3 linked regions of the Macaca mulatta genome follow. The protein of the gene in region 3 purifies or fractionates together with the protein of the main gene of each other region. This does not show direct contact. Links are inferred from orthologs where the notes say so. Each region holds a gene or a part of one and is shown on either strand. Other genes may lie near its edges. The genes, in order: STAT5A, WWOX and ERBB4.

Region 1 (10,677 bases), on a different chromosome or scaffold from region 3:
GACTGGCTGGGAAATGTGAACCTGGCACAGACTCTGCATCCTCTTCTCTTTGTCCAGAAAGAAACCGGCCTACAAGCCTCTCCCCCAGGCAGGCAGGCTGGGCAGCTGGGCAGAGGAGGCAGGACTCCCCTCCTACCCACCCTGTCCAGCCCCACACCCTTCCCCTCACGCTATTCCCAGAAACAGAGGACAGTCACTATGCCTCAGGCAGGATGGCCTGTGTTCTCTTGGTGACTTCATTGTAAGGCGACTTCCCTGAAGAGTGGTGGATAGGGGACAGCTGCAGGAACGGGCTTCACCCGAACTCCAGCAGCTCCTTCCCTTCCCCCAAATGTGCAAGAATTCCTCACCCTGTTCATATAAACACACACCCTCCCTAGGTCCTGCTCTGTCTTCATGGACAAGAACAGGGGTGGCATTTCTACAGGGAGGTCCCAGGGCCTGGCCTCAGAGGTGGGGCGTACTCTGAGCATGGGCCCATGGCCCCACTTCTAGAAGCCTTCTCCGGAGGGGCTGGCGTGCAGGTAGACTGTCCAAGCAGAGGCAAGGTGGGGGTGAAGCGGATGTTTAAGTGCTCCAGAGCTTCTCCCCCTCTGCCGCAGGGCAAAGAGATACTTCCTAGAAAGCCTCCAGCTTTCTTGGGAAGGCTGTTCACCCCCACCCCACCTCCCCTCTGGCTCCCATGTAACAGGAACTCTCCTTGAAGAAGGGACTTGGAGCACAGGAAACAAAGGCATCTCTGTACACCTCCCTCCACCCCCAAGGAAGGTCAGGTCAAGGTGACCTCAGTCTGTTCTCCCCAGGGTAGGGGCATGGGCAGACCTGATCGCCAAGGGCAAGGTAGAAAGGGGACCTGGGATAATTCTCTCTTTTTCTTTTTTGAGATGGAGTTTCACTCTTGTTGTCCAGGCTGGAGTGCAATGGCGCAATCTCAGCTAACTGCAACCTCCACCTTCCTGGTTCGAGCGATTCTCTTGCCTCAGCCTCCCAAGTAGCTGGGATTACAGGCATGCGCCACCACGCCCAGCTAATTTTTGGATTTTTAGTTCAGAAGGGGTTTCACCATGTTGGCCAGGCTGGTCTTGAACTCCTGACCTCAGGTGATGCACCTGCCTCAGCCTCCCAAAGCGCTGGGACTACAGGCGTGAGCCACCGCGCCTGGCCCTTTGGGATAATTCTCTTAATCCATAAACTCAAACCCACCTTCATGTAAGTGTGCACAGAGCACACTGTCCCACTCAATAGAGCAGAGGTGTAGGCTGGGTGAGAATGGAGGTGCTATGCTCCACACCACAGAACAGTGGTGGGCTAGCCCAGCCCAGGGAGGCCTCTTCACTCTCCTGGTGTGTGCCGGGCTTGGGGAACCCTAGAAAGGTTATACTGAGACCCTGCTAACAAGGCCCGGCAACTTGGATCCTGGTGCCATATGTGCACTTACTGGCCAAACAGCTTTGGGCAGGTTTCTTTCATGGACTAATCAAAGGGTGTGATTCTGGCTCTGACTGCCTTCAAGGTTATTGAAAGGATCCATTGAGTTGAAGAGCACAACCATGTTTGTACACAAATGCGCCTCAATGTAGTTCAGGATACGAATATAGTGTGCCAACTGCAGCCTAGGCTGCAGACTATTATTATTCCTAATAAAATATAGGAGGTCTTCTTTTGGAGAATATATTTCTTTTTTTTTTTTTCTTTTTTCTTTTCTTTTTTTTGAGACGGAGTCTCACTCTGTTGCCCAAGCTGGAGTGCAGGGGCGCAATCTCAGCTCACTGCAACCTCCGCCTCCCGGGTTCAAGAGATTCTTGTGCCTCGGCCTCCCAAGTAGCTGGGATTACAGGTGCGTGACACCACGCTCAGCTAATTGTTTTATATCTTTAGTAGAGACGAGGTTTCACCATGTTGGTCAGACTGGTCTCAAACTCCTGGCCTCAAGTGATCCTCCCACCTTGGCCTCCCAAAGCGCTGGGATTATAGGAGTGAGCCACTGCACCCAGCCTGGGGAATATATTTCTGTAAGATTTCTAAAATCCTTCCTCACTCCCCATCTAATGCTGTGACTTGGATTTGGGGGTGAAGAGCAATTAGGGGCAAGGAGGCCAGCCTCGGACCCCAGCTCAGTAAGACCCTCGACAGTTTCTGATCTTCCTGAACCCCCATCCCATGGCCTCAGTTTTCTCCTCTACAGTCTGGTTCCCCAGAACCACCAGGGTACTTTGTGGTGGGAAATCGCAGAGGCCAAACCAGGGGACTGAAAGCAAAAAGAAACCCCAAATTTGACATTTTCAGGTAGTTGTGTTATCTCGAGCCACGACTACAGTCACCTCTTCCCCTAACCCAACTCTGACACCCTTCCCTCTACTCCCTTGGGTGCCCCTTGCCCATCCTGGGAAAGTTCCGCAGCTCCTCCTCCTCCCCACTGCATCTCAAAGGGAGAACAGGCACAAAGAAATGGAGAGAAACTTAGACAGAATCAGAGAACGAGATGGAGACCTAATGAGACAGGGAGAGACACAGAGAGAATAAAAGCCAGAGGAGGGGCTGGGCGCAGTAGCTGATGTCTGTAATCCCAGCACTTTGGGAGGCCGAGGCGGGCGGGTCACCTGAGGTTGGGAGTTCAAGACCAGCCTGACCAACATGGAGATACCCTGCCTCTACTAAAAATACAAAATTAAAAATACAAAATTAGCCAGAAGCGGTGGCATATGCCTGTAATCCCAGCTACTCGGGAGGCTGAGGCAGGAGAATCACTTGAACCTGGGAGGCTGAGGTTGCTGTGAGCCGAGATCGAGCCATTGCACTCCAGCCTGGGCAACAAGAGTAAAACTCTATCTCAAAAAAAAAAAAAAAAAAAAAAATTGCCAGAGGGGGAAATATGCAATGAAATACACAGATATTTGGGGCCTTATAGTCAGAAACCAAATGAGGAGACTGTCAAACAAGGGCACAGCCACTGGGCACAGGGTCAGGGGGTGGGTGGCATAGGAGGGCTCTGAAAACACAGCCACACACCCTTTTAGGCCCATCCTTCCCGTTCTGTTCTCTGGCATCTCAATGCTAGCTTTTTAGGACCTAGGACTACCCACACTAAAGCCAAGCCCAGCCCAACCAAGACAGATGTTTGGTGGGTAGGGCTGCCTGCTGGAGCAACAGGCCTCTGCAGGCCCTGGAGGAGGAGTCTAGAGAGGCGGCTGCCTGGAAGAGAGCAGGCAGGACCCCCTCTCTTAAGCAGGCACCCCCACCCCGTCAGGTGCCCAGATGTCAGTGCATGGCAAGGGTGGCCCTCTGCCCTCCAGACCTGGCCGAGAGGACTTGAAAACCTGAGGAATCTGCTCCCATCAACTGACTTCCACACCTGCCTGAAGGGAACTGCTGGAGGGCACAGGTGCCAAGTGGGACCCACCCAAATGTGGCAATGGGTTTGTATCCAGCCACCAACAGGCTGCATGACAGTGGCGAAGTCACTTCCCCCCTCTGGCCTTTGTTTTTCCACTTGTAAATCATCTTTATGGTCATTTCCAGCTGTGGCACTTGGCTTCCATTCCAGGTGACCCCCTAGCTCTGTGTCTGACCCTCCCCTGCCAAATCCATTGCTCAGAGTGGGAAAGGAGAGGAGAGGGGCTATACTTCCTCCTCCCTGGGGCCCCCTGCAGAGTATCTGGGAAGCAAGGCTTCCCTACATCCTCCATGCACCCCCTTAGAGTTTTCAATTCCTTTCCTCGTGATCCTGCCAACGAAGACACTGTGACCACACAGGGAAGGTGGGGAGAACCCAGACATTTTGGCTTCTGCAGCTTTAAAGTTCTTTTTTTTTCCTCTGAAGTTAAAAGAATGAAACCGGGAGAGGTAGTAAGGGGCAAGAAGGGAGAGTGGGAATGGAGAGAAAAGGGCAGCTCTGAGAAGCAGATGGGGAGGGAGGCAGATGAGATGCACCCGCCCCCCACCCCCAGCCCAGGACATGAAGTCTTGGCTCAGCTGTGCTGTGAGTGGGCAGCTGGGCTGGCCCCTCCTCTGGTGCTGCCAACCCGCTGCCAGGCAGAGGGGAGGCCCAGAGGAGAGGGAAGCTGGGCAAAGGGGATGGAAGGCGTCCAGCCCGACCTTACCAAACCCCTTGGGCCTCGTGGGAAGGGGCCCCTTGGAGAGGGGGACTGAGGCTGTAGACAGGATGTTCACTGCTGTGGCAAGGCCTGTAGGCAGTTTCGAAGTTGGGAGGACTCAAGACGGTCCCTTCCTGGACTTTTCTGAAGGTAGAACCAGCCTCATAAATAACTAGGCTGGGTGAACGGGGGCTTTAGCTAGTTTATGGATCACAGTCGGCTGGTGAGGTCACGCGCCCACTGTGTGGCCCTGGGTGGCCCTGGGCAAGCCCCTTCCCCTCTCTGGACTTCCACTTCTTACCTGCAAATTATGGAGAGGGGGAGGGCTGAAACACATGACTGCCAAGGTTCTTTCCAGTTCCTCCGTCAGGGTTGAGTTTAGATGGCGGGAGTAAAAGAAGGAGGGAGGTGCTGCGGTGGTGGGCTTCTCTAGAATCCCCAGTCCTTCCCCTCCCTACAGTTTTGCCTCTGAGGTCACAAAACCTGTGGCCCCCAAGACACACACGCGCACACACGCGCGTGTACGCACACACCCCACACATTTGTTTTTTAATCTAGGGGCTCAAAAGATGACACTCGTCAGAGCTGGAAGGCATCGCCAATTGGTCCACCCTTCCCTCCTCCCTTTTTGCGGATGAGAAAACTGAGGCCCAGGTTTGGGATTTCCAGAGCCCGGGATTTCCCAGCGCCCCCTACCAACCACATTCCCCCGGCTATTCTGACCCGCCCCGGTTCCGGGACGCTGCCTCGGAGCCGCAGCCGAGGGCCGGCTGGGACTCCCGGGGGACCCCGCCGTCGGGGCAGCCCCCACGCCCGGCGCCGCCCCGCCTTGCAGCCCGCCGGAACGGCAGCCGCTGTTGCGCACTCGCAGGGGAGCCGGCGACCGAGGGCGGAGGCAGGGAGGGAGCGAGCGGGGCTGGGAGGGGTGCTGGCGCGGGCTCGCGCGCTGTGTATGGTCTATCGCAGGCAGCTGACCTTTGAGGAGGAAATCGCTGCTCTCCGCTCCTTCCTGTAGTAACAGCCGCCGCTGCCGCCGCCGCAAGGAGCCCCGACCGGGAGCGAGAGCCGCGGGGCGCAGAGCCGGCCCGGCTGCCAGACGGCGCGGCCCCACCAGGTGGGTGGCCCGGTGGCGCGTCCTGGGCGGCGCGCGGAGAGGGGACACTCGACTGCCGCCCCGGCACCTCCGACACCCGGAGCCCGACGGCCGGGCGCAGCGCGGGGATCAGTCCCGGGCACCGCGAGGGAGTTGGCACAGCGCAGACAAGGGAGGAGGGACAGGGGTCGGGGATGAAGGGCAGTGGCCAGGGAGGGCGCTGTCCTGGCACGCATCGTAGAGGGAGCACTGTCGGGCTGGACCCGGGGAGACACTAGTGCACAACTGGGGGAGCAGCTGAAAAGGGGAGCGCCCAAGTCCCCAGCCCTCTCTCCTGAACAGCCCCAGCCACGTGCCCGAAAAGCCCTAGCCTTCGAGTGGGAGCTGTCGGCGCTGGCCTAACTTTGGGTTGGAGTATCTCCCCTTCCCAGAAACTGGGCCCGAGGCAGGCTGGGGGGATCCTTGCAGCCCTCTCCAGAGGGCCTGTGGGCCTCCCGCCTTCAAGTTTCTCTTTCATTTTCTAGCCGTACCCCCCACTGGGGAAGCTCCGGTGGGGCAAGGGGAGAGGAAGACGGGGAGGGCACCTGCTTCTGCAGAGCACCTTCTCCTCCCCTTCAACGGGTTCCTCGTTGGAGGGGATGGGCTGCCCTCCATCTCTGTTCCCGAACAAGAAAGCTGTCTGTGGGAAGGGAGGGGCCTGGCCTGACCGCGGTCCAGGGATAGGTAGGCATGGCAGGGCCAGGGGCAGGCCCGGTTCCTTGGCCTCTGGAGAGGAGAGCACTTCAGCGCTCGGCTCGCCCTAGGTGAACGGCCATGGCAGGCTGGATCCAGGCCCAGCAGCTGCAGGGAGATGCGCTGCGCCAGATGCAGGTGCTGTACGGCCAGCACTTCCCCATCGAGGTCCGGCACTACTTGGCCCAGTGGATTGAGAGCCAGCCATGGTAGGCACGTCCCGCCCTGCCCCTCCTCAGAGGGTCCCTACCATCCAGGCCCTTTGGCCTCTAGTTCTACTCATGGTGGTTTGGTGTGACTCTGGTCCTGCCTGTCCTTCTCTGTGCGGAAGGGGTGGTGTCCCTGTGAAAGGGGAAGCCTGGGAGGACAGAGAATGGTTTTAGACTCGGATGTCTGTGGAGCTGCTGGGAACAAGTCTTGTGGGCCCTGGAGTGCCCTCGGTCATGAGCCTGGGGTCTCCACTTTATTCTGGGTCTCTGACCTCCTTGCCCAAGGAGGTGCCACAGTAGATTTTTCTCTCCTGCCCCGCCCCAAGGGATGCCATTGACTTGGACAATCCCCAGGACAGAGCCCAAGCCACCCAGCTCCTGGAGGGCCTGGTGCAGGAGCTGCAGAAGAAGGCGGAGCACCAGGTCGGGGAAGATGGGTTTTTACTGAAGATCAAGCTGGGGCACTACGCCACGCAGCTCCAGGTGGGTGTGGGCTCTGGGCCACCTACGGGGAGGCAGCATCATCTTGTTCCAGCATCAGAACCCCTGGGTTTTTTCCTGGCCTGGCCACTGACTCACCATGTGACCACAAACTTATTGGGAAGTTTTCTTTGATTTCCCCCACCCCCTCTTTCTAAATTAGACCTGTCAGATTTCTTTAGCATATTGCAAAGCAAGGGTGGGAGGTGTTTGTTGCCAACAGAGGGAGATGGGTGAACTGGCCTTGTGGAAGCAGCAGAAGGGATGGAGGGAGACTGAGTCAGGATTCCTGGGTTGGAGAAGGGAAGACCAGCACTCTAGAAATGAGGCAACCAGACCTCCCTCTTGGGCTTTTTTCAAGGTGAGAGAGGAGCTGTCCCAGAGACAAGAGCTGGACACAAGGGCTTTGAATTGAGGGTTTAGAAATAAGATGTAGCTTCTTCTTTACTTGAGGAGTAGGGGTGTGGAGGAAGAGAGGGAGTTTTTGTGGAAGCAGGAAAGGGGTGTGGGTAGTGATCACAGTCAAGCATTTATGGGAACTCACTTATGTTTCCTAGACAGCCCTTCAATACAGACAGCGGGGTGCCAGGGAAATACAGGTTCATCCCAGAGGAGGGAAAAACAGGAGAAACCTGAGGGGAACCAACATAGGAGGCCAGGGGCAGGGTGGTGGGAAGTACCTTGACCTTGGCATCAGATGTCCTGAGTCTGGAGTCATCTGCTTTCTCACTTGGTTGCATCTGGACAAGTACATAATGTCTCTCAGTATCAGTTTTCTCATCTGCGAAATGGGGATTATAGTTTCTGCTTATGTCCTAGGGTTTCCATGCTGTTAGTGCAGTGGTCCCCCACCACTTTTTGGCACCAGAGACCGGTTTCATGGAAGACAATTTTTCCATGGACCGGGATTGGGCAGGGAGGTGGTTTTGGGATGATTCAAGGGCATTACATTTATTGTGCACTTTATTTCTATTATTATTACATTGTATTATGTAATGAAATAATTATACAACTTACCACAATGTTGGATCAGTGGGAGCCCTGAGCTTGTTTTCCTGCAACTAGACAGTCCCATCTGGGGGTGGTGGGAGACAGTGACAGATCATCAGGCATTAGATTCTCATAAGAAGTGCATAACCTAGATCCCTCGCACACGCAGTTCACGATAGGGTTAGCATTCCTATGGGAATCCAGTGCCACTGCTGATCTGACAGGAAGTGGAGTTAAGGCTGTAATGCGAGCAATAGGGAGCAGCTGTAAATCAGATGAAGCGTCATTTGTTTGCTCACTGCCACTCACCTCCTGCTGTGTGGTCTAGTTCCTAACAGGCCACGGACCTGTACCAGTCCATGGCCCAGGGGTTGGGGACCCCTGTGTTAGAGTCAAAAGAGATGGTACATTGAAAGTGCTTCATAAGACCAGGCGCGGTGGCTCACGCCTGTAATCCCAGCACTTTGGGAGGCCGAGGCAGGTGGGCCACCTGAGGTCGGGAGTTCAGCCTGACCAATGTGGAGAAACCCCGCCTCTACTAAAATACAAAATTATCTGGCATGGTGGTGCATGCTTGTAATCCCAGCTACTTGGGAGGCTGAGGCAGGAGAATCGCTTGAACCCAGGAGGCAGAGGTTGCGGTGAACTGAGATCACACCATTGCACCTTTAGCCTGGGCAACAAGAGCAAAACTCCGTCTCAAAAAAAAAAAAAAAAGGGGAAAGTGCTTCATAAACTGTGGGTTTTTAATTCACTCCAAACCAGATATGAAGATGTTGGAGGGGAAGATGAGGATGAGGAACAGAAAGATAGAGGTGTCTGGGAGGCTTTCTGGGAAAAGCTGAGGCAGAGGCTGAAGGAGAGGAAGGGCTGGGCATGGCATGGGACTGGCATGGCTGGAGCAGAGGTTGGCTGCTGGAGGCTGCTGTTGGATTCTTTCAGAACACGTATGACCGCTGCCCCATGGAGCTAGTCCGCTGCATCCGGCACATTCTGTACAATGAACAGAGGCTCGTCCGAGAAGCCAACAATGTGAGTGTCCCTTGGGGATGGGGAGGGGTGTTGAGAAGTCCTTCCATATGCCTTTCTCTCCAGAAACAACTGTGTTTATAGAAAACAGCAGCACGAGGAGAGCACCAAGAAGATGAGGGACGTGGGCAAGTGTGAGAGGTGGCAGCATTGCACGCCAGGGTGGAGTGACCCCCTAGGTCCAGTCCCTGGCTCTACCACTTAACTAGCTGTGTGACTTGAGCAAGTTGCTTAATCTCTCTGAGCTTCTGTTCCTACTGTCTTTCTTTCTCTGTCTCTCTCTCTTTCTCTTTCTTTCTTTCTTTCTTTCTTTCCTTCTTTCTTTCCTTTTCTTTCCTTCTTTTCTTTCCTTCTTTTCTTTCCTTCTTTTCTTTCCTTCTTTTCTTTCTTTCTTTCTTTCTTTCTTTCTTTCTTTCCTTCCTTCCTTCCTTCCTTCCTTCCTTCCTTCCTTCCTTCCTTCCTTCCTTCCTTCCTTCCTTCCTTCTTTCTTTCTTTCCTTTCTTTCTTTCTTTCTTTCTTTCTTTCTTGTCTTTTTGACACAGAGTCTTGCTCTGTCACCCAGGCTGGATCTCGGCTCACTGCAAGCTCCGCCTTCCAGGTTCATGCCATTCTTCTGCCTCAGCCTCCCGAGTAGCTGGGGCTACAGGCGCCCACCACCATGCCCAGTTAATTTTTTGTATTGTTAGTAGACATGGGGTTTCACTGTGTTAGCCAGGATGGTTTCGATCTCCTGACCTCGTGATCCACCCGCCTTGGCCTCCCAAAGTAGTGGGATTACAGGTGTGAGCCACTGTGCTCGGCCCCTACTGTTTTTTTTTCCCCTGAGACGGAGTCTTGCTCTGTTGCCTAGGCTGGAGTGCAGTGACACGATCTCTGCTCACTGCAACCTCCGCCTCCCAAGTTCAAGCAATTATCTTGCCTCAGCCTCCCGAGTAGCTGGGATTACAGGTGCCCACCACCATGCCCAGCTAATTTTTTTTGTACTTTTAGTAGAGACAAGATTTCACCATGTTGGCCAGGCTGGCCTTGAACTCCTGACCTCGTGATCCACCCGCCTCAGCTTCCCAAAGTGCTGAGATTACAGGTGTAAGCCACCATGCCCGGCCTGTTCCTACTCTTGTAAAATGGAGATAGCAATCCTACCTATCCATGTCAGAAGAACTAACACAGGCAGGCTCAGAGAAGTGAGGCCCTGGGAGGGGTAACGGGGACGCATCTCCGCAGTTCTGAAATAATAAGAGCACTGGGCATCTACACGGACAATGGCACAGTGCTCTACCATCTGCAATAGAGCAAAAGGAATTTCACAACATGACGTAACAGTTAGAAATCTTAGAACAGTGACCAGAGCAAAGGTCATATTATTTATTTATTTATTTATTTATTTATTTATTTATTTATTTTTGAGACTGAGTCTTACTCTATCATCCAGGCTGGAGAGCAGTGGTGTGATCTCGGCTCACTGCAACCTCCGCCCCTTGGGTTCAAGAGATTCTCATGCCTCAGTCTCCGGAGTAGTTAGGATTACAGGGACCCACCACCATGCCCGGCTACTTTTTGTATTTTTAGTAGAGACAGGGTTTCACCCTGTTGGCCAGGCTGGTCTCGAATTCCTGACTTCAAGTGATCCACCTGCCTCGGCCTCCGGAAGTGCTGGGATTACAGGCATGAGCCACTGTGCCCGGCCTATTATTTATTTATTGTTGTGGACACGATTTCAGGATTTACTCAGCAGACATTTACTGAGGTCTTACTGTACATCTGATGCTGGGCTATCATCAGAGAAACACATAAAGCCCTGGTTCCTGCCTGGAAGGAATTCTGGCAGCGATGGATTCTCTAGAGATGAGCTGAGTGCTAAGCGGGCCTACGTGGAAAAAGCACCCAACTCAGATCGGGGCAGGCTGGCAGGGGAGCGTCCTGAGGACAGGCATGTCTGAACTACAGTGGAGAAAGGCAGGAGAGGAGGGATGAATTTTCTAGTGAAAAGACAGCAGCTGTGAGAGCAGAAGGGCGTGAATCTTCTTATCACGTTGGAAGACTTGTAACT
Region 2 (9,944 bases), on a different chromosome or scaffold from region 3:
GGAAGGACAGTTTCAAGATGGAGAAGTACCAGCTGCTACATAGCAGGCACTTTCTCTGCAAACAGCCCTTCCCTATAAGGTTGACCCCTGATTTCCTTCCCCACTGTCTCCTGGGCAGATATCCCACTTTTACAGTCTCATTAGCTAGCACTGACAGTCCTCCAGGAAGTGGCAAGTGTGGGCCGGCTTCTGATCTCTCTGAGCCAAAAGAGGCTTCCTGAAAAACGACTATGTTCACCTCTCAGCTCCACAGGTAATAAAACAACTCTTCAGATGCTGCCGACTCTGTTTTCAAGTTGACAAACTGACAAAGCCAAACAATTATGTCTTAACAGAATTTTCCCTTACTAGTACATTAAGATATTGACATTTGCTCTGTGGACAGTAACACTTGCTTTGTAAGGGGACCCCCCCGCCCACTTTTTTTTTTTTTAATACTTTAAGTTCTAGGGTACATGTGCATAACGTGCAGGTTTGTTACATATGTATACTTGTGCCATGTTGGTGTATGCCGAGTTGGGCTGCACCCATCAACTCGTCAGCACCCATCAACTCGTCATTTACATCAGGTATAACTCCCAATGCAATCCCTCCCCCCTCCCCCCTCCCCATGATAGGCCCCGGTGTGTGATGTTCCCCTTCCCAAGTCCAAGTGATCTCATTGTTCAGTTCCCACCTATGAGTGAGAACATGCGGTGTTTGGTTTTCTGTTCTTGTGATAGTTTGCTAAGAATGATGGTTTCCAGCTGCATCCATGTCCCTACAAAAGAGGCCCCCACCCCACCCCCGCCCACTCTTGTATATACACCGTGGGGGTTTTGCTTTTTGGGGTTTTTTTTTTTTTTTTTTTTTTGAGACAGGATCTTGCTCTGTCACCTAGGCTGATGACAATCTCCCTCCACTGGTGCAATCTGCACTGATACAATCTCCACTCACTGCAGTCTCCATCTCTCAGGTTCAAGCAATTCTTCTGCCTCAGCCTCCCAAATAGCTGGGATTATAGGCGTCCACCACCACAACTGGCTAATTTTTGTATTTTTAGTAGAGATGGGGTTTCGCCATGCTGGCCAGGCTGATCTCAAACTCCAGAGTGCTGGGATTACAGGTATCAGCCACTGTGCCTGGCCTATACTGCATTTTTTTAACTAATAATTTTTAATTTTTATTTTAGAGATGGAGTCTCACTCTGTCACCCAGGCTGGAGTGCAGTGGTACGATCAAAGCTTACTGCAACCTCAAACTCCCAGCCTCAAGCCATCCTCCCACCTCACCCTCTTACTAGATGGGATTATAGGCATGTGCCACCAAGCCCAATTTTATTGAGGATTTTTTTAATTCCCGCCTAAAATAATTAGGCTGGATTCTATCTACACGGAAGCTCAGAAACTCCGTGTGTGTGTGTGTGTGTGTGTGTGTGTGTGTGTGTGTGTGTGTTTGTGTGTATGTATGTGTGTCACTGCGTGATTTTGTGTGTGGGGTGGGAGAGGGCAATTTGGCACTCGATCCAGCTGCAGCCATTGAGGGTTGTTCAACCAGCACTCTGCCCTTTTCATTCTACTTTAACTGTTATCTGAAATTTTTTCACAGCAAGGAAGTCAACTTCTCATTTCACTATGATGTATTCTAGGTACGCAGAAACTCAATTCAGTTGCTCGGATTCCAGATGAGTAACTAAAACACAGTGAAGACACAGGAAGGCTAATAAGTATTTTGCCTTGGGGCAGTCTAGTATAATATTTTCTGCAAACATAGGACTTTATTTTTTCCCCTAACAGGGGGTCTTGACTCCAACGAAGAGATTCTGCCAAGGTTTATGGAGGTAATTAGATATCAACACTTGCATTTTACAGCATGGTTTAGGGCCCTGGGTTCTTGGGTAGTGAGCGAAGTGTTTTCACGTACCGCCTGTGCACCAAGTCACCACGCTCGCTCATGGGAGCCAAGGGATGCAATGCAAAGGTAATACACAAGCCAGCCTGGGGAAATTGCCATTTTGTTAAAACACCTTTAAATAATGTGCAAAGAAGCCGGGCGCGGTGGCTCATGCCTGATAATCACAGCACTTTGGGAAGCCAAGGTGGGCGAATCACAAGGTCAAGAGATCGAGACCATCCTGGCCAACATGGTGAAACCCTGTCTCTACTAAAAATACAAAAATTAGCTGGGCGTGGTGGTGGATGCCTGTAGTCCCAGCTACTCAGAAGGTTGAGGCAGGAGAATCGCTTAAACCTGGGAGTCAGAGGTTGCAGTGAGCTGGGATCGCGCCACTGCACTCCAGCCTGGCAACAGAGCGAGACTCTCTCTCAAAAAATAATAGTAATTACAACAATGTGCGAAGAATAATTGGAAAGCAGAAAACTAGTGCCAGCCATCAGACAGGAGTGAACACGACAACACATCTCAGGAAGGCCTCCCTACAAACTAAGATAGGTCTAATTCAAGAGTCCAAGTCCCTTCCTTTCAAATTAATCTTTTAAATGAAGCTAAGATTCGGATCTCCAAAGTAGGCATGAATTACACTGTAGTTAAGGAGAGAACAAAGACATCACACAAAATACCACTTCAGATACAGATTTACAAAGGAGAGTGAGCAGCTGACAATTCAACATAATCTCCCATTAAATACCAGCTCATTTAAACATATCCCGTGGTGCCCTCCACATCTGGTGGATGACTGGGGCTGGCAGATTTATTTCTGGAGCTCTCTCTGCTGCCTGCCCCCACAGTAGCCTCCCTCGCCCCTTAACAGGGCCACTCCACTTTCTTTCACAAACCTGGTGTGATTTGCAAAGATAAGGCTGTCCAGATTTTGTTACCACCTAATTACTGGATGTTTCATGTCTTTTAACACGGGGGAGGATTATTACTGGCATTTTCCTTTCATTTCAGCCATCATAAATTTAAAGTGGCAAAAGTAAATCTATCTGCAGTGTGTCACTTACACCATAAGCCCCTGTGTTTGGGAGTGATAAAGGTTTCAAGCTAACCCTTGGCTGGTCTATCTCTTCCAAGTCCCAGGGGTTACATTTTATGGAAGTATGATTAAAAAAGTAAGCTTCATTCTGGGTCACTAAAACATTTCAGGACTTAAGACGGAGAAGAAGGAAGAAAAAAATGCGCCCCTTTCACATTATTTCTTTTTCTAGCTACTCTGCTAAGAGTGTAAACTCCCCCCCAAAAACACACACCAAGCAAACGTGAAAGAGAGATCTCCCTAACACATATTAAATCCAGCCTCATCCAGCAAGGCCTTTGTCTTTTCGGAATATTTCTCTCTAGACAAATAGTTGTTTATCCAACTCTAGAAACAAATCTGCTGAAAATACGATGAAATTTTCAAATGTCTTTTTCAGTCAATTGAATATTCTCCTAATGGCAATAGGAAAAAAGTGCCATCTGATGTTTTAATTGAAATTTTAACCAAAAGAGGCATGGCCAGATTTCTAATATGCTCTAACTACAGTACTTCCCTTTCCACAATTACACAGCTAATGTCTGTATCGAATTCCCTAATTTCTCATTATAAAACAATTGGATTTCATCTCGCAGGCTTTAATTGCATTGTTTCTCCTGCTAGAGTAACTGCACATTCTTCTTGGTAAGATGTTGAAGTTGTTGAATTACAAATCAATAAAGGTCACGCCATTCAGATTTCATCAATTATTATTCCATCTCTAAGCAAAATCGATGAGGAGCTTGAAGTACAGTCATAAAAACAATCTTCGTTGCTCTAGACAGTCCTTCTCAACAGTCCCCTACAATCACACACACACACAAAAAAGACCTGGAAAAATTAAGTAAGCCAAGTTGAGTCCACCCACATGTCTCAAGTAGGACTAATGAAAATTATTTTCAGAATGAGAGCCTTGGGGGAATATTAGCTGGTATGAGAAAGGGGGTAAGTGAACAAATATGCAATTCAAACCCACCGATGGGACTCTGAGGAGACCACAATGACACGGGCAGGAGCTGAGCGGCACAAAACATCCTGGAGGAGCTGGACAAGGTAGAAGTGCCCCAGATGATTCACTTGAAAGGTGGTCTCCAGGCCGTCTTTGGTGAGACTCCAGGGTAAAGCAAAAGCTGCTGCGTTGCACACAAGCACATGAAGAGGCCTGAAAAATAAAATATTCCACATGATGTGAACATAAACACTACAACCAAGCATAATCAATGCTCCTTCAGGAATGAGAAATTCTTTCTCCGTCTTCTAGATTCCAACCATTTAGAAATAGGATACCCTAGAATGTCGCATGGCTTTGAGTGGGCAACTGTCCTTTGTTGCTGAGAATGAGAGGCTTTTTAGGACACAGGACTTTCAGTGCGAAAACCAGGACAGTGACAGCCAATCCGGGAAGAGTTGTCACCCTAGCTGGAACTCAGATTCAACCACCTGATTAACTCCGTCTTTCTTAATTCATCCAAGTCTCATTTTGTCTGTAAATAAAAATAGCCCTTAAAATAGTTATGAGTAATAAAGGAGAAATTATGCTGTTAGAAAGGCTGGCATAGGGCCGGGCATGGGGGCTCACACCTGCAATCCCAGCACTTTGGGAGGCCGAGGCGGGTGGATCATTTAAGGTCAGGAGTTTGAGACCAGCCTGACCAACATGGTGAAACCCCATCTCTATCAAAATACAAAAAAAAAATTAGCCAGGTGTGGTGGTGCATGTCTGTAATCCCAGCTACTCGGGAGGCTGAGGCAGGAGAATCGCTTGAACCCGTGAGGCAGAGGTTGCAGGGAGCTGAGATCATGCCACTGCACTCCAGCCTGACCAACAGAGCATGACTCTTATCTCAACAAATTAACAAACAAACAAACAAAGAAAAAACAAAACAACTGACACAGGACCCAGGACTTGGTAGGTGCTAAGCAAGCATAGCAAGGGGGTAAATGCTCTGTCTAAAGAGAAGGTACATACTGTTTAAAGATACAGAATTTCTTGTGGAGATCAGATTAAATGAATATTTTATAAAGAAGCCTAGAGATAGGTAAGTAGAAGCCTGTCATAATATTCTCTCTTATTTTGTATATATTTAATCTTTTTTTTTTTTTTTTCTGACAAGATCTTGCTCTGTCATCCAGGCTGGAGTGTAGTGGTGTGGTCGTAACTCACTGCAGTCTCAAACTCCCAGGCTCAGACGATCTTAGCCTCCTGAGTTACTGGGACTACAGGGGCACACCACCATGCATGGCTACTTTATTTCTTTTTTATTTTTGTAGAGACGGACTCCCGCTATGTTGCCCAGGGTGATCTTGAGTTCCTGGTCTCAAGCAATCCTCCTGCCTAGGCCTCACAAACATAATAAAACTGTTAACGATAAAAGTAATCCTTTCATGTGAATCAAAAAGCTAAATTCTCAAAAAGTAAATATATACTGGTGAAAAATCATAATGTACCAATAAGAATTGTACAACAAAATATACACAAGGCTATTCACCATGTTTGTGATAAACTAAGGCAGCAAACTAGAAGTAAACTAAATACACCATTGAGGAATTATTACATTTAGAATATACCCACATGATAGAACACTATGCAGCCATTAAAATCACAAACAAATCTACTGACCTTATAAAACACGTTATAAAATAAAATTTAATGTATTTTATTATCAGACACAGACACACACAGAAACAGAGAAAGAGAGAGAAAGAGATAGAAACGTTATGAAAGATATATAAAAATAAGGGCGGGCGCGATGGCTCACGCCTGTAATCTCAGCATTTTGGGAGACTGAGGCAGGCAAATCATGAGGTCAGGAGTTCGAGAGCAGCCTAACCACATGGTGAAACCTCGTCTCTACTAAAAATAAAAAAATTAGCCCAGTGTGGTGGCACGCGCCTATAATCCCAGCTACTTGGGAGGCCAAGGCAGGAGAATTGCTTGAACCCAGGAGGCAGAGGTTGTAGTGAGCTGAGATCATGCCACTGCACTCCAGCCTGGGGAACAGATAGAGACTACATCTCAAAGAAAGAAAAAAAAAATATATATATATATATATAGAGAGAGAGAGAGAGAGAAATCTGGGCACAGTGGCTCACCTCTGAAATTCCAGCACTTTGGGAGGCTGAGACAGGATAATCACTTGAGCCAGTATTCAAAACTAGCCTGAGCAACACAGCAAGACCCCATCTCAACAACCACCACCAGAACATTAGCCAGGTGTGGTGGCGTGTGCCTGTACTCCCACCTACTTGGAAGGCTGAGATAGATAGGAGGATTACTTGAGCCCAGGAATTCAAGGCTGCATTGAGCTATGATCATACCACTGCATGCATTAGAGCAAAACTCTGTCTCCAAATTAAAAAAAAAGAAAGACAGTTTTCACATCGCAGCCTAAGAGTTACAAGTTTTTAAAAAACGAACACTGGCATGCAATAAAGGGAAACATAAAGAAAAATCTTTATAGAAATTAAATATTCTGCTCTCTAAAAAAGTAAAACAAAAGTGAAAAATATAAGCAATCATTTAGAGGCCGCATATTTTTACTATATAAACAGTTCTTACATATCTATGAGAGAACCACGCGTCTTCTAAGAGTCTAACAGAAACAGTGACATTAGAAATTTTATAAAACTAGATTACAAATAACCAGTGCAATACTTAACACCTCCAACTACACTAGTAAACATTAAAATATTTTCTATCAAATTAGCATATGTATTCATACTATTATATTTGTATTACCTTGTATAAAGTTGGGGGGTTGCACCCTGGATATTAAGCTGAAAACATGTATCATGAGAATTGAAAGGTTCATATTATTTCACCAAGTAATCCTGTTTCCAAGCAGTAAAGCATGTATGTAGCAGGGGCAGCAGAAATGGCACAGTTAATATCACTAGGGAGAAGTATTTTATCACTGATAATGTTTAGAACTGTCAGCACATGATTGTAAAAAGCAGATCAACTTTTAGCTATCTTTGCTGTTGTTTTTCCATTCTATACAAAATGCTTCCCCATTTTGCGTGCACCTGGGGCAGACCATTCCCATGGCTACCTCCCATCCTTTTGATATGCCACTGCTTCTATAGTGGGTTGAATGGTACCTCCCACCCCATTGCTTCCATAGTGGGTTGGGTTGAATGGTAGCGATCTGTGAATGTGACTTTATCTGGAAAAAGAGTCTTTGCAAGTGTGATTAAGCCCACATCTTGAAACAAGATCATCTTGGATTAAGGTGGGCCTTAAATCCAATGACATGACTATCCTTACAAAAAAGGAGAAGTGGAGAAGGAACACCCACAGAGAAGGAGATGGAAAGATGTAGAGACTAGAGTGACTTAGACACAAGCCAAGAAATTCCAAGGACGGCTGGCAGTCACAAGAAGCTAGGAGGCAGGCACGGAACAGATGCTCCTTCGAGCCTCTAGAAGGAACCAACACTGTAGACCACTTGATTTCAGATGTTTGGTCTCTGAAACTGTAAGAGACTAAAATTCTGTTGTTTCAAGCCACTCAATCTGTGTTAATTTGTTATAATAGTTTTAGAAAACTAATATAGCTTCCAAAATTCTTTCCTAATATTCAAACTTCATATAAAAGCTTATGCCCAAGAATGCATGATACATCAACTAAAATTATAAAATTCTATATGAACTAGAAACAACCTAACATCCAGCAAGAGGAGTAGATAAACAATGATTAAGCCAAAGATTCCTAAACTTTCTCAATTTAATTGAAAAAGTAGGAAATTAAATTTTATATGTGTGATTCATACCCCATACCCCCCAAAAAGAATTTCCAGATATCCAGTCAGGATTACTTTTTTTCTATTTCCTGTTTATGATTTTGGGTATTTTCCAACTTTTCTACAATAAGCATAAACTAATTAAAGAACTTTACTGAAATATAATTCACATACCAAAAAATCTATGTATGTACACTGTACAACTGTTTCAGTATACTCAAATAATTGTATAACCATAACTACATTCTAATTGTATGGCACTTTAACTCAAAAAAAAAAAAAAAAAACCCATTAGCAATCACTAGCCACCCTCTACCCACCTACATACACTCTTATCCCCAAAACACCATTAATCTACTTTCTGTCCTATAGATTCACCTATTCTGAACATTGTATATACTAAATGGAACCATAAAATGCATAGTCTTTTGTGACTGGCTTCTGTTACTTGGCATGATGTTTGCAAGGTTCATCCATGTTGTAGCATATATCAATATTTCATTTCTTTTTAATGGGCAGATAATATTCCATTATATGAATATACTGCGCTTTGTTTACCCATTCACCAATGATGGATATTTGGATTGTTTCCATTTATTGGCTACTAGGAATATCACTGCTATGTACATTCATTTGTAAAGTGCTGTGGAAATGCATGTTTTCTTTTCTCTTGAGAATACGTCTAGGAGTGGGATGGCTGGGTCATATGGTAACCTAATGTTTAACTTTTTGAACAATGGCCAAACTGTTTTCCAGTGTGGCCGTACAATTTTACATTTCCACCAGGACTGTATTTGAACTTTCATCTCTCCATGTCTTCCTAAGTATTTGTTATCTGACTTTTTAATTTTAGCCATCCTACTAAGAAGTGGAATCTCATGGTGGCTTTCATTTGCATTTCCCTAATGACTCATGACGTTGAACATCATTTTATGTATTCATTGGCAATTTGTGTATCACATTTGGAGGAATATCTATTTAGATTTTATGCTTATTTTTTAACTGAGTTTTTATTATTGAGTTGTGAAAGCTCTTTATTCTAGATATAAATCCCTTATTAGATATTTAATTTGTAAATGTTTCCCCCATTCTGTAGATCATCTGTATACTTTCTTGATGGTATCGTTTGTAGCACAAACACTTTTGATTCTGGATCAAACCCAATTTATCTTTTTTTTTCTTTTGTCACTTGTGCTGTCGGGGTTATATCTAAGAAATAATTGTCTAAGTCAACATCACAAAAATATACTACCATATTTGCTTCTAAGAGCTGTACAGTTTTAGCTCTTAAGTCTCTGACCCATTTTTATTTATTTATTTATTTATTTTGCTATTTTTTTCTGTGTAGTTTATGCAAGTGTGATCTAACCTCATTCTTTTGCATGGGGACGCCCAGTGGTTCTAGCATCACTGTTGAAAAGACTATTTTGAATTGTCTTGGCATCCTTGCTGAAAATCAATTTACCATATACATGGATTCATCTGGACTCTCAATTCTATTTTATTACCTATAGATCTATTCTTCTGCTAGTATGACACTGTCTTTATTACTAAAGATTTATGGAAAGTTTTGAAATTGATAAATGGAGGGCCTTCAATGCTATTCTTTTTCAAGCTTGTTTTGGTTCTTCAGGTTCCTTTGCATTCATATATAAAATGTAGGATCAGCTTTTCAATTTCTGCAAAAAAGTCAACTGAAATTTTAATAGAGATTGCACTAAATTTGTAGATAATTTGGAGAGTTTGGTCAGCTATACAATATTAAATCTTCTGATCCATGAACATGGGATGCCTTCATTGCTAGTATATAGAAATACAATTGACTCAGGCATATTAAACTTTTATCCTACATTTATCCTGGCTGAACTTGTTAGTTTTAATATTTTTTAAGTGTATTTCTAGGATTTTCTACAGATAAGGTGACTTCATTTGCAAATAAACACAGTTTTACTTCTTTCCAATCTGGATTTTTTTTTTCAGTCTTCTGCTTTTTTGTTTTTTTGCCCAATTGCCCTAGCTAGGACTTCTAGCAGAATATTAAATGAAAGTGGTGAGAGTCAATATCCTTGTCTTATTTCTTGATCTTAAGGGAACAGTACTCAATCTTTCAGCATTAAGTATGATGTCAGTTGTGGTTTTTTTGCAGATGCCCTTTATTGAGTTGAGAAAATGCCACTTTGATGCAAGTTTACTAAAAGTTTTCATCAAGACAGAGTGTTGGACCTTTTTAAAATGTGTTTTTATGTGTT
Region 3 (4,279 bases):
TTAGTATGCGTGTTGCAATTATACCAGGGATGCACCCGAGAGTTTTTCTTTGTACGGCCCTTTCATCTGGATCACTTTGTGTTTTGAACAAGTGAGACTCGCCTTTGTGCCCCCAGAATTTCAAGTACAGAGTCACACACGGAACAATGGCACGCTAATCCTCGCGCTCTAAATGGGCTCACTTGTGGGTCTGACAATTCGCCCAACGAAACGAGAAGAGATGAGCGAGGGCGCGAGCTGGTGTCGCCTGAGACGAGGAAGAGGACAGCTGCAGAACTAATTTGGATTACATTCCTTGCAGAAATTCTGAAAAGGGCTTTTCGGCATAGCTCAACCCGGAGCCGCACAGTTAATACCAAATTGCTGCGGACTCGGAGCGGGGTCCCTCAGCGGCAGAGGCTGAACCAGCCAGCCCCCAGTAGGTCGCCTCGTAGAAATTCCTCTCGGCTAAGCCTGCATGTCGGTCGCCACTGCCTTTGAATGGGTCAATGTGTATAATCAACCCATTGAGGGAAAATATGAAGGGACTCGAAGTGGGGAGGGAGATAAAAAGAGATGTATCTAAGAGGCCGCTTGGAATGTCAAGTCCGTGTTGGTGTGATTCCGGGGGTGGCTGGAGCGCGGGACCTGGTATGCGTGAAGAATTTCGGAGTAATTGGGAGGGTGCAAACAGCCAGCACAAAACGCCGCACATGTGCCATTCGAAGGTCATTTTGAAAGCCTCGATGATTGTAACTTGTTGTTTACTAGGCAAAGGAGGCGGCGGCGGCGGGGGCGGAGCGGGAAAACTACAGCTTGCTGTTTCCTTGGTGAGGTCAGAAGGACACCCTCCGGGGGCCTAAAGCGCTCCCTATCGCCACTCCCGGGGGCTTTATCACCTCAAGCTACTTCCCACGCTCCAGTCACCATCCCCGAATGGTTTCAGAAATCTCCCTGGCTCTCCAAAAGGCACCCCTTGGCCGCATCAGACACCGGTCCTCCTCAGACCTCTCCCGTCCCACTTTCATCCCCAGGAAACTCAAGTGTCAGAAACTTTGAGCTTCCTTGCACTGCAGGTGCTGTCATTAGTCCTGCAAGCCTTGGCGCTCCAACCCCGCCGCGCTGCCTCTCGGGGTCAATTAGCCCTTTGCCTGCCCAGGTACCTGGGGCTCGAGCTCTCCAGCAAGCAGTGGCCGCGCACCCGCCGCCGCCGCTTGCGCCTCGGGTGGATCCAGTGACCCGCAGGCTCGGCAGCCCGGCCAGGCAGTAAACAGACAAGTTTGAAGGACTCCGGCCAATAGCAAGTTGAACTACAGGAAGAACTCTTCCAGGAGCCAAACACGGCAACCGACGGGAAGGCCCGGCTTCTGGCTCGAGTGTGCCAAGCCTTTTTTTTTTTTTTTTAAGAGGTCATGCAGGCGAGCAAGCGCCCCTCAAGTCAATGGGGCGAGGGCTCCGGGAAGCAGGCCGAAGAGGCCCAGAGCTCCAGACCCCGGACCGAGGCGCGCCCGCCCGCTGCACTCTTGCTGCCCGGGCTGGGTACGAGTCGCGTCTGACCCCACAAGGCTTGGGCGACTGGGGGCGCAGCGGCCGCCGGCAGCACACACAGGTGCAAAGCCCGGGTCTCTGAGCGCCACTCTCCACCGCCCTTCAGGCTTGGCGCGGGAGAGGCCCAGCCAGCACCTCCCCAGGACCCCGGCCCTCCGCGGCCCCGGCGGTGAGGGTTCCTCCCTCGAGGGACCAGACAGGGACAGGAGAGTCTCCTCTGACTGGGGATTTGGGTCTCCCATGTCCCGAACAACAGGCGCCACCAGAAGGGATCCCGCTTAGGCTCCCACACAAAACGCTCGGGAAAGAAAAACAGGGGGTTAAGGAGAGAAAAAAGAGGGGCTCAGAGTGATTTCTTCACGATAAAGCACAGGCACACATACAGGGTAAGTTTCAAATGGAAAGAGGGGCGACCGAGAGCCCAGGGAAGAAGTCCCGGTCGAGCGGTCCCTCCACGCCTCCCGGGATGGGTGAAGAGGGCGGGGGAGCCACTCAAGGCAGCCCCGCCGGCGGCGGCAGGTTAGGCGACCGGAGCGCCAGAAGGAACCCACCTGACTGAGAATCGCTGGGCTGGACGGTCCCCGCCGCCACGAGAAGGCTCACCCAGACCCAAAGTCCTGTCGCCGGCTTCATTTTTTGGAAGTCTCAGATCCCGTGCTGACAATTACATGTCCAAATGGCATATCCCCCTTTCGGGCACGCGGAGGAGATCCCCCAGCCGGGCGCGCGTGGGGGCGCGAGGGGGGCGGGCGCGGCGCGCGCGGTGTAGCGACTCCCAGGGCGGGCGACCTAGTCCGCGCCCGCGGGTCCAGGGCCGGGGCCCGAAGAGGGGGCGAGTGTGCGTGTGTTGGAGTGTGCTCGGTGTGTGCGCGTGGCGGTCCGGGCCGAACTGTGCAGTTATTTCCCCGCGTGAGCCTTCGCTTGCTCGCTGCCTCCTCACTTTCTCTCTCTCTCACTGGTTGGTCAACAATAAAAAAGGAAGGGGGGCGAAAGGTTTCCAAAAAAAGTTGATTGCAAAGAGGCAGTAGGTTTCCGGCCTCTCCCCGCAGCCGGGCTGTGTTCTGCTCCTTCTTCAGTTTCCTTGCACCTCCAGTCCAAATGGGGAGGGGAGCGGGGCGGGGGGAGCTTCTCGCTTCTCCCCGGATCCCGTCCTTCTTTTTCCTGTCAGCTTTCCTCACACTTGTCCGGCGGCTGCGGTAATTAAAGCTCCGAGCGTCATTTCCAACGCTCCGCGGTCTCCAGCTGCAGCCCACAGAGAAATTAATAAGACTCCAGAAAAAAAAAAAAAAAAGAAAAAAAAAAGGTGGGGGGGGCGGTGGGAATAAAACAACCCTCCACGCAACCAGGCAGGCTCTGCTCAGCCGCGCAAACCCCGCCCATGCTCTGACCCAACTAGCCACGCCCTTCTCCCCCGCCCCCCGCCCCAAAGGGAAATCTCATTGGCTCAGCCACTCCCCAAAATCCTAGGCCTCCGGAGTTGGGAAAACACCTGTCAGGGAGAGGGAGCAGCTTGGTGGGGGCAGGGGAAGCTGGATTTAAAGGGCTCACCGAAGCCATGCACTGAAGCACTCCTCTTCCCTCCCTGGCAGAGGCCTGGGACAGCTGGCCCGCAGAGTGGACAGACCATCGGAGGGGCGCTTACAGAAAAGATTTTTTAAAAAAACAAGTCAGCATTTTCTCCATTGTCCCACGGTGCTTATCTACAGACAGGACTTTCCCTAGAAATAAAAGAAAAGTCAACGTTGCTTTCAGCAAAAAGCCTCCGCCCGCAGCACTCTGCCACTCATGGTCCACAATTAGAAAGTACTTTAAAAGTGTGCACAGTAAGTAACTAGTAGCCCCTGAGGATTAGGTGGTGGTAGGGATATAATCACCGCCCCGCCTCCCGCCCCCAGTTATGCCATCTCTCCGGTTATTCCCACATTTCCAAACTGACCGACATTGAGCCAAACTAAAATTTCACATTTATAAAGCCATACCCTTTGATTTTTAGATTTTATGTTTTTTTCACCTTTGGAGTTCATTCTTATTAAGCAGATTCTAGTCCAAAGCCACTGATTTAATCTTAAAGGGCTAGAAATTGTCTCAACCTGAAAGTATTTAAGGAGGCCACATCAGAACATAATTAACCTTAAATGATTCTGCTTCTTCTACAGTAGACCCAGCTTTAGGCCCTTTCCTTGTCCTCACTCTGCACATTCATGGTCCCTAATCCGGAGGTCATTGCTAGTTATGAAAATCTCTGACCTTTTCTGAATCTAAAATATTCTGGGACTGGGTCATATCAATGTTCATATCCCTTGCCTTTTACAGCTCTGAAACCGCACCCTGGCAAGGACCAGAATCTCCTGGGGGTAGTAAGTTATTAGTTACTATTTGTACAGGCATTCTATGTATGAATCACTTTCCTTTTTTGGTTTTTCTAGAAGCAGCAAATATATAAATAAAAAGTATCAGGGGAGCTTAAAAATCAAACCACCCTGCCTTTCATTTGAGACCTGGATCTCCATTTCCCACTCTCTTATCTATAGCTCCATCCCTTAAGAATTTCCATGGAGCTGAGAACAGATAGGAAATACAGATGCCTGAAGCCTGAAGCTTTCCCTTTCTTAGACCCACAGCAAATAACAGGCTCCATGAAGACGCCAAACAAGCTGAGCATGCGGTTTTAGCAGAAGCAGCCTAGGGCAGGAAGGAACTAGAGCAGATGACAGTGACTTGACCATAATGGTACTGATTGCAGCAGAACTGT

The links.
Region 1: the proteins of ERBB4 (region 3) and STAT5A purify together in Homo sapiens (affinity purification with western blotting; 3 studies listed by BioGRID, with this or other methods). This does not show direct contact. The link is inferred for Macaca mulatta from reciprocal best matches to the Homo sapiens genes ERBB4 and STAT5A.
Region 2: the proteins of ERBB4 (region 3) and WWOX purify together in Homo sapiens (affinity purification with western blotting; 4 studies listed by BioGRID). This does not show direct contact. The link is inferred for Macaca mulatta from reciprocal best matches to the Homo sapiens genes ERBB4 and WWOX.

The regions. Positions count from the first base shown.
Region 1 is NC_133421.1:66,625,996-66,636,672, forward strand, and holds the start of STAT5A (signal transducer and activator of transcription 5A), read left to right. Parts: upstream 1-4,674; 5' UTR 4,675-5,208; exon of another isoform or gene 5,209-5,367; intron 5,368-5,711; exon of another isoform or gene 5,712-5,990; 5' UTR 5,991-6,000; coding exon 6,001-6,128; coding exon of another isoform or gene 6,129-6,203; intron 6,204-6,428; coding exon of another isoform or gene 6,429-6,454; coding exon 6,455-6,611; intron 6,612-6,612; exon of another isoform or gene 6,613-6,732; intron 6,733-8,363; exon of another isoform or gene 8,364-8,474; coding exon of another isoform or gene 8,475-8,540; coding exon 8,541-8,630; intron 8,631-10,677. UniProt on the Homo sapiens protein: Carries out a dual function: signal transduction and activation of transcription. Mediates cellular responses to the cytokine KITLG/SCF and other growth factors. Mediates cellular responses to ERBB4.
Region 2 is NC_133425.1:73,834,863-73,844,806, reverse strand, and holds part of WWOX (WW domain-containing oxidoreductase), read right to left. Parts: intron 4,116-9,944; coding exon 3,930-4,115; intron 1-3,929. UniProt on the Homo sapiens protein: Putative oxidoreductase. Acts as a tumor suppressor and plays a role in apoptosis. Required for normal bone development. May function synergistically with p53/TP53 to control genotoxic stress-induced cell death.
Region 3 is NC_133417.1:117,705,181-117,709,459, forward strand, and holds the start of ERBB4 (receptor tyrosine-protein kinase erbB-4), read right to left. Parts: upstream 2,801-4,279; 5' UTR 2,161-2,800; coding exon 2,079-2,160; intron 1-2,078. UniProt on the Homo sapiens protein: Tyrosine-protein kinase that plays an essential role as cell surface receptor for neuregulins and EGF family members and regulates development of the heart, the central nervous system and the mammary gland, gene transcription, cell proliferation, differentiation, migration and apoptosis.